Tribolium castaneum: one gene and its partner. The protein of the gene in region 1 binds, or shares a complex with, the protein of each later gene. Links are inferred from orthologs where the notes say so. Each region holds a gene or a part of one and is shown on either strand. Other genes may lie near its edges.

What was found.
Region 2: eIF3j (region 1) and eIF3l share a complex: the UniProt entries of both Drosophila melanogaster proteins name them as parts of the eukaryotic translation initiation factor 3 (eIF-3) complex. The link is inferred for Tribolium castaneum from reciprocal best matches to the Drosophila melanogaster genes eIF3j and eIF3l.

The regions. Positions count from the first base shown.
Region 1 is NC_087396.1:21,287,048-21,290,575, forward strand, and holds eIF3j (eukaryotic translation initiation factor 3 subunit J), read right to left. Parts: upstream 2,052-3,528; 5' UTR 1,737-2,051; coding exon 1,724-1,736; intron 1,664-1,723; coding exon 1,578-1,663; intron 1,533-1,577; coding exon 1,425-1,532; intron 1,379-1,424; coding exon 1,081-1,378; intron 1,029-1,080; coding exon 892-1,028; intron 848-891; coding exon 797-847; 3' UTR 553-796; downstream 1-552. Other genes in the region: Srp54 (probable splicing factor, arginine/serine-rich 7), read left to right, coding at 2,312-3,528. UniProt on the Drosophila melanogaster protein: Component of the eukaryotic translation initiation factor 3 (eIF-3) complex, which is involved in protein synthesis of a specialized repertoire of mRNAs and, together with other initiation factors, stimulates binding of mRNA and methionyl-tRNAi to the 40S ribosome.
Region 2 is NC_087394.1:32,526,514-32,530,781, forward strand, and holds the start of eIF3l (eukaryotic translation initiation factor 3 subunit L), read right to left. Parts: upstream 2,887-4,268; 5' UTR 2,803-2,886; coding exon 2,764-2,802; intron 2,627-2,763; coding exon of another isoform or gene 2,599-2,626; exon of another isoform or gene 2,544-2,598; coding exon 2,280-2,543; intron 2,153-2,279; coding exon of another isoform or gene 2,023-2,152; exon of another isoform or gene 1,768-2,022; intron 1-1,767. Other genes in the region: iPLA2-VIA (85/88 kDa calcium-independent phospholipase A2), read left to right, coding at 2,023-2,152, 3,245-3,449, 3,496-3,586, 3,636-3,938. UniProt on the Drosophila melanogaster protein: Component of the eukaryotic translation initiation factor 3 (eIF-3) complex, which is involved in protein synthesis of a specialized repertoire of mRNAs and, together with other initiation factors, stimulates binding of mRNA and methionyl-tRNAi to the 40S ribosome.

The DNA of each region.
Region 1 (3,528 bases):
TTGTTGTGTAATTAATTTTAGTGGAATTTCGAGTAATTACAAAGGCGGGATTCTAATCAAGTGTGTGTGGCATGGTGGCAGCCCTGAGTCTAAAGACGCTTGCTTTTTATGACAAAAAAGTTAACATGGTGTTTGTGTTTAGTTTTAAAAAGTGTTTAAAATCGGGAAAAGTCTAATGAATCAGTGTTTACATAGTGTCATCGTGGAGGTAAGCACCAATTTTGCCATTTTTACAACAAATATTGTGATGAAACTCGGACAGGAATACCAACAACGGTACTTAAATATTCAACATTAAAATAGATTATGGTCTCAAAAAGTTTATAGAAGCGGGGTCCACTTGTTCTATAATAAATTTCAGCATAAATGTGTAATAATTACACGTCAGAACGGCGTAGACGGGATTTAAATTGCGTGCGTGTGGCAACTCTGTGTCTAAGACACTTGATTCTTTTTTAAATAAAACGCAATCATTTTTTTGAAAAATTATATTGATATTAACAATAATTGCATCAAATCCATTGAATACAACTTGTATGCAAATCCATACAATAATCGCCTTAAAATACAACTTCTATATCAGTAGCAACAAAAACCAGCAACTCATTAATTAATAATGACTCGTTACATTAGTATAGAAAAACACAAAACGGTGAAAAAAAAGTAAAAATTATTAACCATATTGCATGATCATTACACTACACCTTTTTAAAAATACCGTATAATTTAACAATATTTATATTTATCGAAGATATTTATTTAAAAATTAAAACCCTATCTAAACCGCTGCAATCTGCTACATAAAGTCGTCGTAATCGTCATAGTCGTTAACATACGCTGACAAAGGCTGCAAAAAAAATTAACCCAAACACTTGTAAAACCACAACTTACATTTCCATCATCCAGTCGTAATTTAGCCTTGCCTTTGCCTTTGTTTTTCTTCGATTTCTCGCCTTTCTCGATTTTTTGTTTCTCTAGGTATAAATTATCTAACGTATTTTTAATTTTCTTAATATCTAATGAGGACACTGCAAGAACATTCATCATTAACGCTGTTTTAAATTAAAACGAGAGACGTACAAGTGGCACACAGATTTCGTAGTAAGTTTTCGGTGAACACCGGATACTCTGTGCTTTTAGCTAGAGGTTGGAGCTTCTTAGAGAGAGCGTCTGTAAAGTCCTGAAACTCTTCTTTAGTAGTTGGCAGCGTGAGTCCGTCTAAACCTGAAATGTTTGTGCTATTGGTGTCGCCCCCAAACGTCGTTTCTAGCGCTATTTTCAAGTCCGATTCCTTCTGCATCCTGAGCTTCTCCTCCGGGGAGATTTCCTCCTCCTGTTGCTCCCTCAGCCTCCGCTCCATTTCTTCCTTCCTCTTTCTCTGAATAAGGAGAAATTAGATTTGTCACAACTATTGCGATACCCACTTCTTTCTCTGCGATTTTGTCAGCGATTGACTGCTTCTTGGGCTTGGGTTTGGCCTCCTCGGCAGGCGCCGCTTCCACCTTCTCCTCCTCCTCATCCTCCCAGCTTTCCTGCAGGAAAATGGTAAATTTTTGGCAGGAATTCACTCATTTTACCTTGACGTTGTCGTCTTCGTCCTCGCCTTCCCATTTGTTGGACGCAACCACAGGTGTAACAGATGGAGGTTCGAAGTTATCGTCGTCTGAAACAGCCCCATGTCAAATTTTCGCTCAAGTAGTGAAAGAATTGACTAAATTTTTACCCCACGATTCCATATTGGCGAAAATACGGCCGAAATTAGCACAAAACGACCTCAACCTCGAAATTCACGTGTGCTGAATAACGTGCAACTGCACCAGAAACCGCCAGATGACACTGTCAAAGTGTCACCAAACCAAACACTATCTTTTCTCGAAGCTTCCACAAGTACACCGATTTGTAGATGTATCAAACAATACGTTTCGGCTTTTTATGTCTCTTGCAAGATGAAAAGTCAGCGAAATCAGGCGAAGTTGAACAATTCACGAGCGAAAATAGCCCTCGAACACCCATCTCACCCTTGACAGAAACCAACTACGCCTGCCAACCGGCACACAATTAAGGCACCAAATTACAACCAAAGTGCAAGTTTTACAGGCTATTTAACGCCAAAGATTTTAAATAATTTGAAATTATCCTTTTGGGACAGTCATAAAAAGTTTTAATTAGGACGATTGGCCATAAATTGCTTTTTCACCGCGTTTTTCATCATTGAACAATAGTTGGCGACACTTGCTGTCATTTGACTTGTCAATGTGCGTCGTTTTACGTTTTTTAAACTCGTTGGAAAATGTTAAAATAGTGCGTGAAAATGGTCGTGGGTAACACTAAGGTGGTCCAGGTGACCAACATAGCCCCCCAGGCCACCAAGGACCAGATGCAGACGCTGTTCGGCTACTTGGGTAAAATCGAAGACATTCGCCTGTACCCCACGATTCGAGACGTCTCCTGTCCTGTCCAGTCCCGGATTTGTTACGTTAAATTCGTGGATTCCAGCACGGTAGGTGTAGCCCAACACATGACAAACACTGTTTTCATCGACCGGGCCCTAATTGTCATCCCTGTGATCAACGGGGACATCCCCGACGAGTACTACGCTCTGGAGATGACCCGTAACGGGACCATTGTCCCCGGGTTTAACGTAAACGAGCCAAAGTTGCCCCCACATGTCTCCAATTCGTTCCAAGGCACAGGCGAGGAACGCGTTGTTGTCACAAATGACCCCCATTTGACTGACAATGGCTGCGCCCCCTATCCCCCTTTGCCGGCCAAATACGACTCGATCAAAGTCGAGGAGACTCGTCGAACGGTCCAAGTGGTCAATATTGACCCCGCCATACCCACAGATGAGATAATCCAGTATTTTTCACAAGCCGGTGAAGTGAAGTATTTGAGAGTGTGTGAGTGCCCCAACGACAACACCACGCACATTTTGATCGAATTCACGGAACAGCCAAGCGTCGTGAACGCCATGAAAATGAACGGTGAAGAGTTCAAAGGCAAGCCGCTGGAAATCATTCACGCCACTCAACCAATCATGAAGCCCCAAGCCAAAAGTAACGAAGCCGCTCAGAAGGAAATTGAAGAAGCAATGTCTCGCTTTAAAGAGGCTCAAAACATGATCAATGCCTCGATTGAGCCAGTTATCGGAATGCTAACTAAAGATAAAAGGAGCTCGCGACGTTCCCGCTCAAGATCTAGAGGGCGTAGACGCCGCTCACGCTCAAGGTCACTCTCGCGTGGTTCACGTTCACGTCGTCGCCGTTCAACGTCACGTTCACGCCGTTCACGATCACGTGACCGGCGTAAACGCTCGAAGTCTCGCTCTCGGAAACGTTCGGTTTCACGTACGAGGCGTTCAAGGTCGCGCGAACGCCGGTCAAGGTCGAAATCGAAGGGTCGCAGTAGGCCAAGGGCCAAATCTAAGACTCGGGATAGGTCGAAAGATAGGAAACGGGATAAGGATCGCAAGTCAAAGGAGAGGGATAGGAAGTCGAAGGAAAGGGATAAGAAAGAGAAAGATAAGAA
Region 2 (4,268 bases), on another chromosome or scaffold:
TGGGACAAAATATTAATTGTTAAACGTACGTAATTTAATTTCCCAAGAATGGTGTTCCTTTTTTTGATGACTGTTAGTTGTTTTTTTATTTTGGTTAAAGTTTTCATGTTATAATAAAATTGTTACGTAAGATAAATTTTTGTGTCCCGTCCGTAATCTCACTACTTTTTATATACAGGGTGCTCAAAAACTGGCGCACCAACTCAGTGGTACGTTATTGAGAAGCAAGTGCAGATTACGGGAAAAATGTTGAATAAATTTCTAAAGTTATATTTTAAAAAATCTGGAGCTACAAACTTATTGTGTTAACTTCTTTAGTTTTCATTATTTTTTTATATTTCTATGTTTCATACCAGGTTATCGTTCCGTAACAATACAATGAATAATTATTTTAAAATTTACTATCAGATTTTAGCAGTTTTTTTAATTAAAAAAAATTAAAACTCATCCAAAAAATCACAATGTGTAGATGTGCCAACACTGGGAATTATTTCCTAGGAAACCGTTTCAAAAATAATTTATTTTTATTGTTGCTCAAATTCTATTGCAATCATGACTGTTAGACAACGTTGCCACATATCATTTACCTAAAATTAGTTATTTATCAATAACAGTAATACAAAGATTTTTTTTACTATTTTTACCTTTATATGTAACCAGTTCTCTACCACACACCACTGAGTTGGTGCGCCAGTTTTTGAGCACGCTGTATTTGGTATACACTCCCTCAGTATTACCTGAATCCGTAAAAAAATCATTCATAATATTTCTATTATGAGTAAATATTTTTGTTCTTTCGAAAATATTCACAGATTTTTATACTTATTTTAAACTCAATTTTTATTAGGCGAATACGCGTCCAGTCGGTAATCAATTACTTATAACGATTTTCATTTCAATTAATTTCATCACTTTAAATATTACTATCTTTTTGAAAAAGATAGGCCATTTGAAAATAGAAGTTGACAGAAATATGATTAGTAGATTGTGGAGGTAGTTCCTGGTTAATTTAGTTCATTACATGTTTTTTTTTTTGTTAACTAAATGACTGATTAACGATTTTACTTATTTATGCAACAAAATTCTGTACCTAGGTTTAATTTAAACATTGTTTTTAGGAAAATGCTTGAGGTACCGTCTATTTATTACGATTTATCACTGATTTTCTTATATTTTTAAAAGCATATTTTATTTTTCAAAAGAGAGACGAACAGTTGAATAGTTTTCCCGTTGAGATCTCAATTTATTTATCTTATCATGAGTTTTTAAGGACAACAAATAATCTACTTTGAAGATTCTCACGATTTTTTTGGGCCTAATTAAGACTTTGTATTCAAATTTTCGTTGGTAAATACTCAAAGTTAATTCTTTAGTAAATTGTGAAGACAGTTCTGTTAATTCAGTTGATTATAACATAATTTTTTTTGTTTATGCAATTTACTTGGTTAAGCGTTTTACTTATTTATAGAACAAAAATTCGTTTAATAAGCAAATTTTATGATTTATTTCAAGAAGTCTCAAGCCTCGAGAAAAAATATTATTGGAAATGTATTTGTCTATTATTGACTTTGGTATACTCCTAATTCAAAAAAATGTAGGAAAAAGCTGTTTTATTTATTTTGAAATCGATTACCTTTAAATGAAATGAAATTTAGAATTTCGTCGAAACTGTATAGTATTAGAAAAGATATGACCTTGTAAGCACCTTATTCAAAGTTTATTTTTTGTCGTTAAATCTATTTTTATTTTATTTATTTATTTTTATTTATTTTAATATTATTCATCGCATTATTAAAGTCCAAAACCAAAAGTCGTATTTATTATTATTTTAAACCAATTTTTTTCGCCCATGCTGCGTAAATAAATATTTAAGCAAAAACTTTACAATCAATAGACATCAAAGAATCATAGATATTGAGCGATTTCTTTGTAATTAGGTCGCTTCTGACGTGTCCTTTTGCTAAAGACATAATAAAACCCATTTATGTTCATTTTTCCCTGCTACTGCTTCCAACAGTCGCAATGGAGCATTACAAAAGGCAACTCCTGAGCAAAAAAGAAGAGCTCAAAGAGAAAATCTCTGAAGAACTCAAAGACAAAAGTGAACACGTTAGGGAGAAAATCAAGGACGTCCAAGACATTGGCACAGAAGGTAAAATAATTGATCACGTAAAGGAAAAAATTAAGGATGTCCAGGAGAGTGAAACTGGGGGTAAAATACTAGACCAAGTGAAAGACAAAATCGAGGCGGAAGGTAAAATAGTCATGGATTTACTCACGGGATCACTGTCGACTAGCGCTGACACTTCTGACTCTTCTGGCCAGGGGCGTTTCTCGAAATAATCTTCGGTTAGTTTTGGCCACGAAGTTTCATACAAAGTTTGCAACTCAAAGATTAAACCCTCATTCACGCAATTGCGGAAATAGATTAGGAAGTTTTTGACTATTTCCGGCATCTTTAGGTGCTGTTTATTGTACTCGTTGTCCAAGTTGGGGTCTCCTGTGTGAGCCCCATACTCATCATAGCTGTTGTATTCATAACCCTGAAATAAATGAAAATCAGTGTCCAATTTATTGTCAATTTTGCTGCCACGAATTATGGGAATGGTGCATGCTAAACATGTAGGTCGGTATTATTTCCACACTTTTACAAATAGGCTTGAGACACATGGTTCAATTTGCAAAGCTTTTACTAGAGTTTTATAGAACCCAGTGTAGGTTTAAGGATAAATTGTTCAAGTTTTAGGTGTTTGAAGCACTCACTTGCTCATAATCGTCGGAAAACATTTTGAATTTACTCATTATATGCCTACGCCACTATAGCGAGCAAATGGTCTTGCACTTAACCTCGAAGCCAGTTGACGTTTGACAATTACAAATTACAGGTTTCTACTCGAGGTGGTGCAAGAAATTCCATTTTTTTCTCATTTTCAAAAGTATTTCCGCTGAGTAAGTGAGAAAAATGTTTTAAAATAAAACGATCAATAAACATGATGTTAATCTAAATGCAAATTTACTGAGCCGGTGATTTAACCTCATTCCCCAATTGCTCGTTCGAACAAACCTTGAACTATGAAATCACAAATTTCTTAAATAAAACACAATGATCGGTAGTCAATCTCAGTGAGTGATTAGTGTTCGTAACCGTATGAATAGATATTAAGTAATAAAATGTTTGCCCAAGGATTTACAAGTGGTAATCCCCTGCTTTGTGATGGTACAAATATTATTCTTCATTTTGCAGTTTTACGTAGCTTCCTCAGTTCAGAACCCGCCCCAACCAAAGTGATTGACGCCAAATCAGACGCTTTTTCCGACCGAGCGATTCACCTACGGGAAGATGGATTGGTCCTCTACCTCCCAGCTAATACAGTTGACAAGAAAAAAGGGGCCACTTACGAAATTGTGCTCCATCGCCCGTACACGGAAAGCCTACACCAAACCTACAGGTTTGTGCCCCCGAACACGTCAACTGTTAAAAAAATCAATTTTTAGTTTATACCGCTCGCCAAATCTTGACGAAGCTGAAGTGAAATTTTGTGTCTTGAAGGATAAGTTACCCACGTTTGTTGAGATTTCGAAAGAAGTAATTTGCTGTAGTTGTTAAAAGACGATTATTTGGAATTTTATTTCAGATGTATAATGTGCAAGGTTTGCAAAAGATTTGTGACGTTCTTGCGGAACACCCCTCTTGGAACTTGGCCCATTTGGCGGCGTATTTTAGTCTCTATGATTCTTTTAAAGACTCTAAGATTAACAATTATTTGAATAGTACTGATGATGAAACTGGGATCTCGCCACTACAAGTTGCTATTACCACGAAGAATTTGAAGACGGTGCAAGTTTTGGTTGCTGCGAATGCGTCTTTGGAACATCTCGATTACAACTCTGATTCGGTGTTCCATTACGCCGCTAGCACCACCAAAGATATCATTGCCGTAAGTATTGAATTGTGCAAAATTAGATACGGAAAAGTTGTACATAAGGAATTCTAAAGATTTTTTTCTGACGATTTTAAATACCTTTTTTTAGTTTAACATTTGTAAAGGCCTTGGTCATTTCCATTGAGCATTGTTTCGTTTGTGTTATGTGGAAAATATCAAATATTACACTAGAGTATAGAAAAATTCCATTGAACTAGTAAATAATAAAAAACGAGAACACATTTATAAAGTTCATAGGTCAAACGTTGACATTTTATTTACGAGATGTTTATTTCTATTAAAACCTACTAGAGACAAACAAAGTTATCAGTTTACCTAATAAGT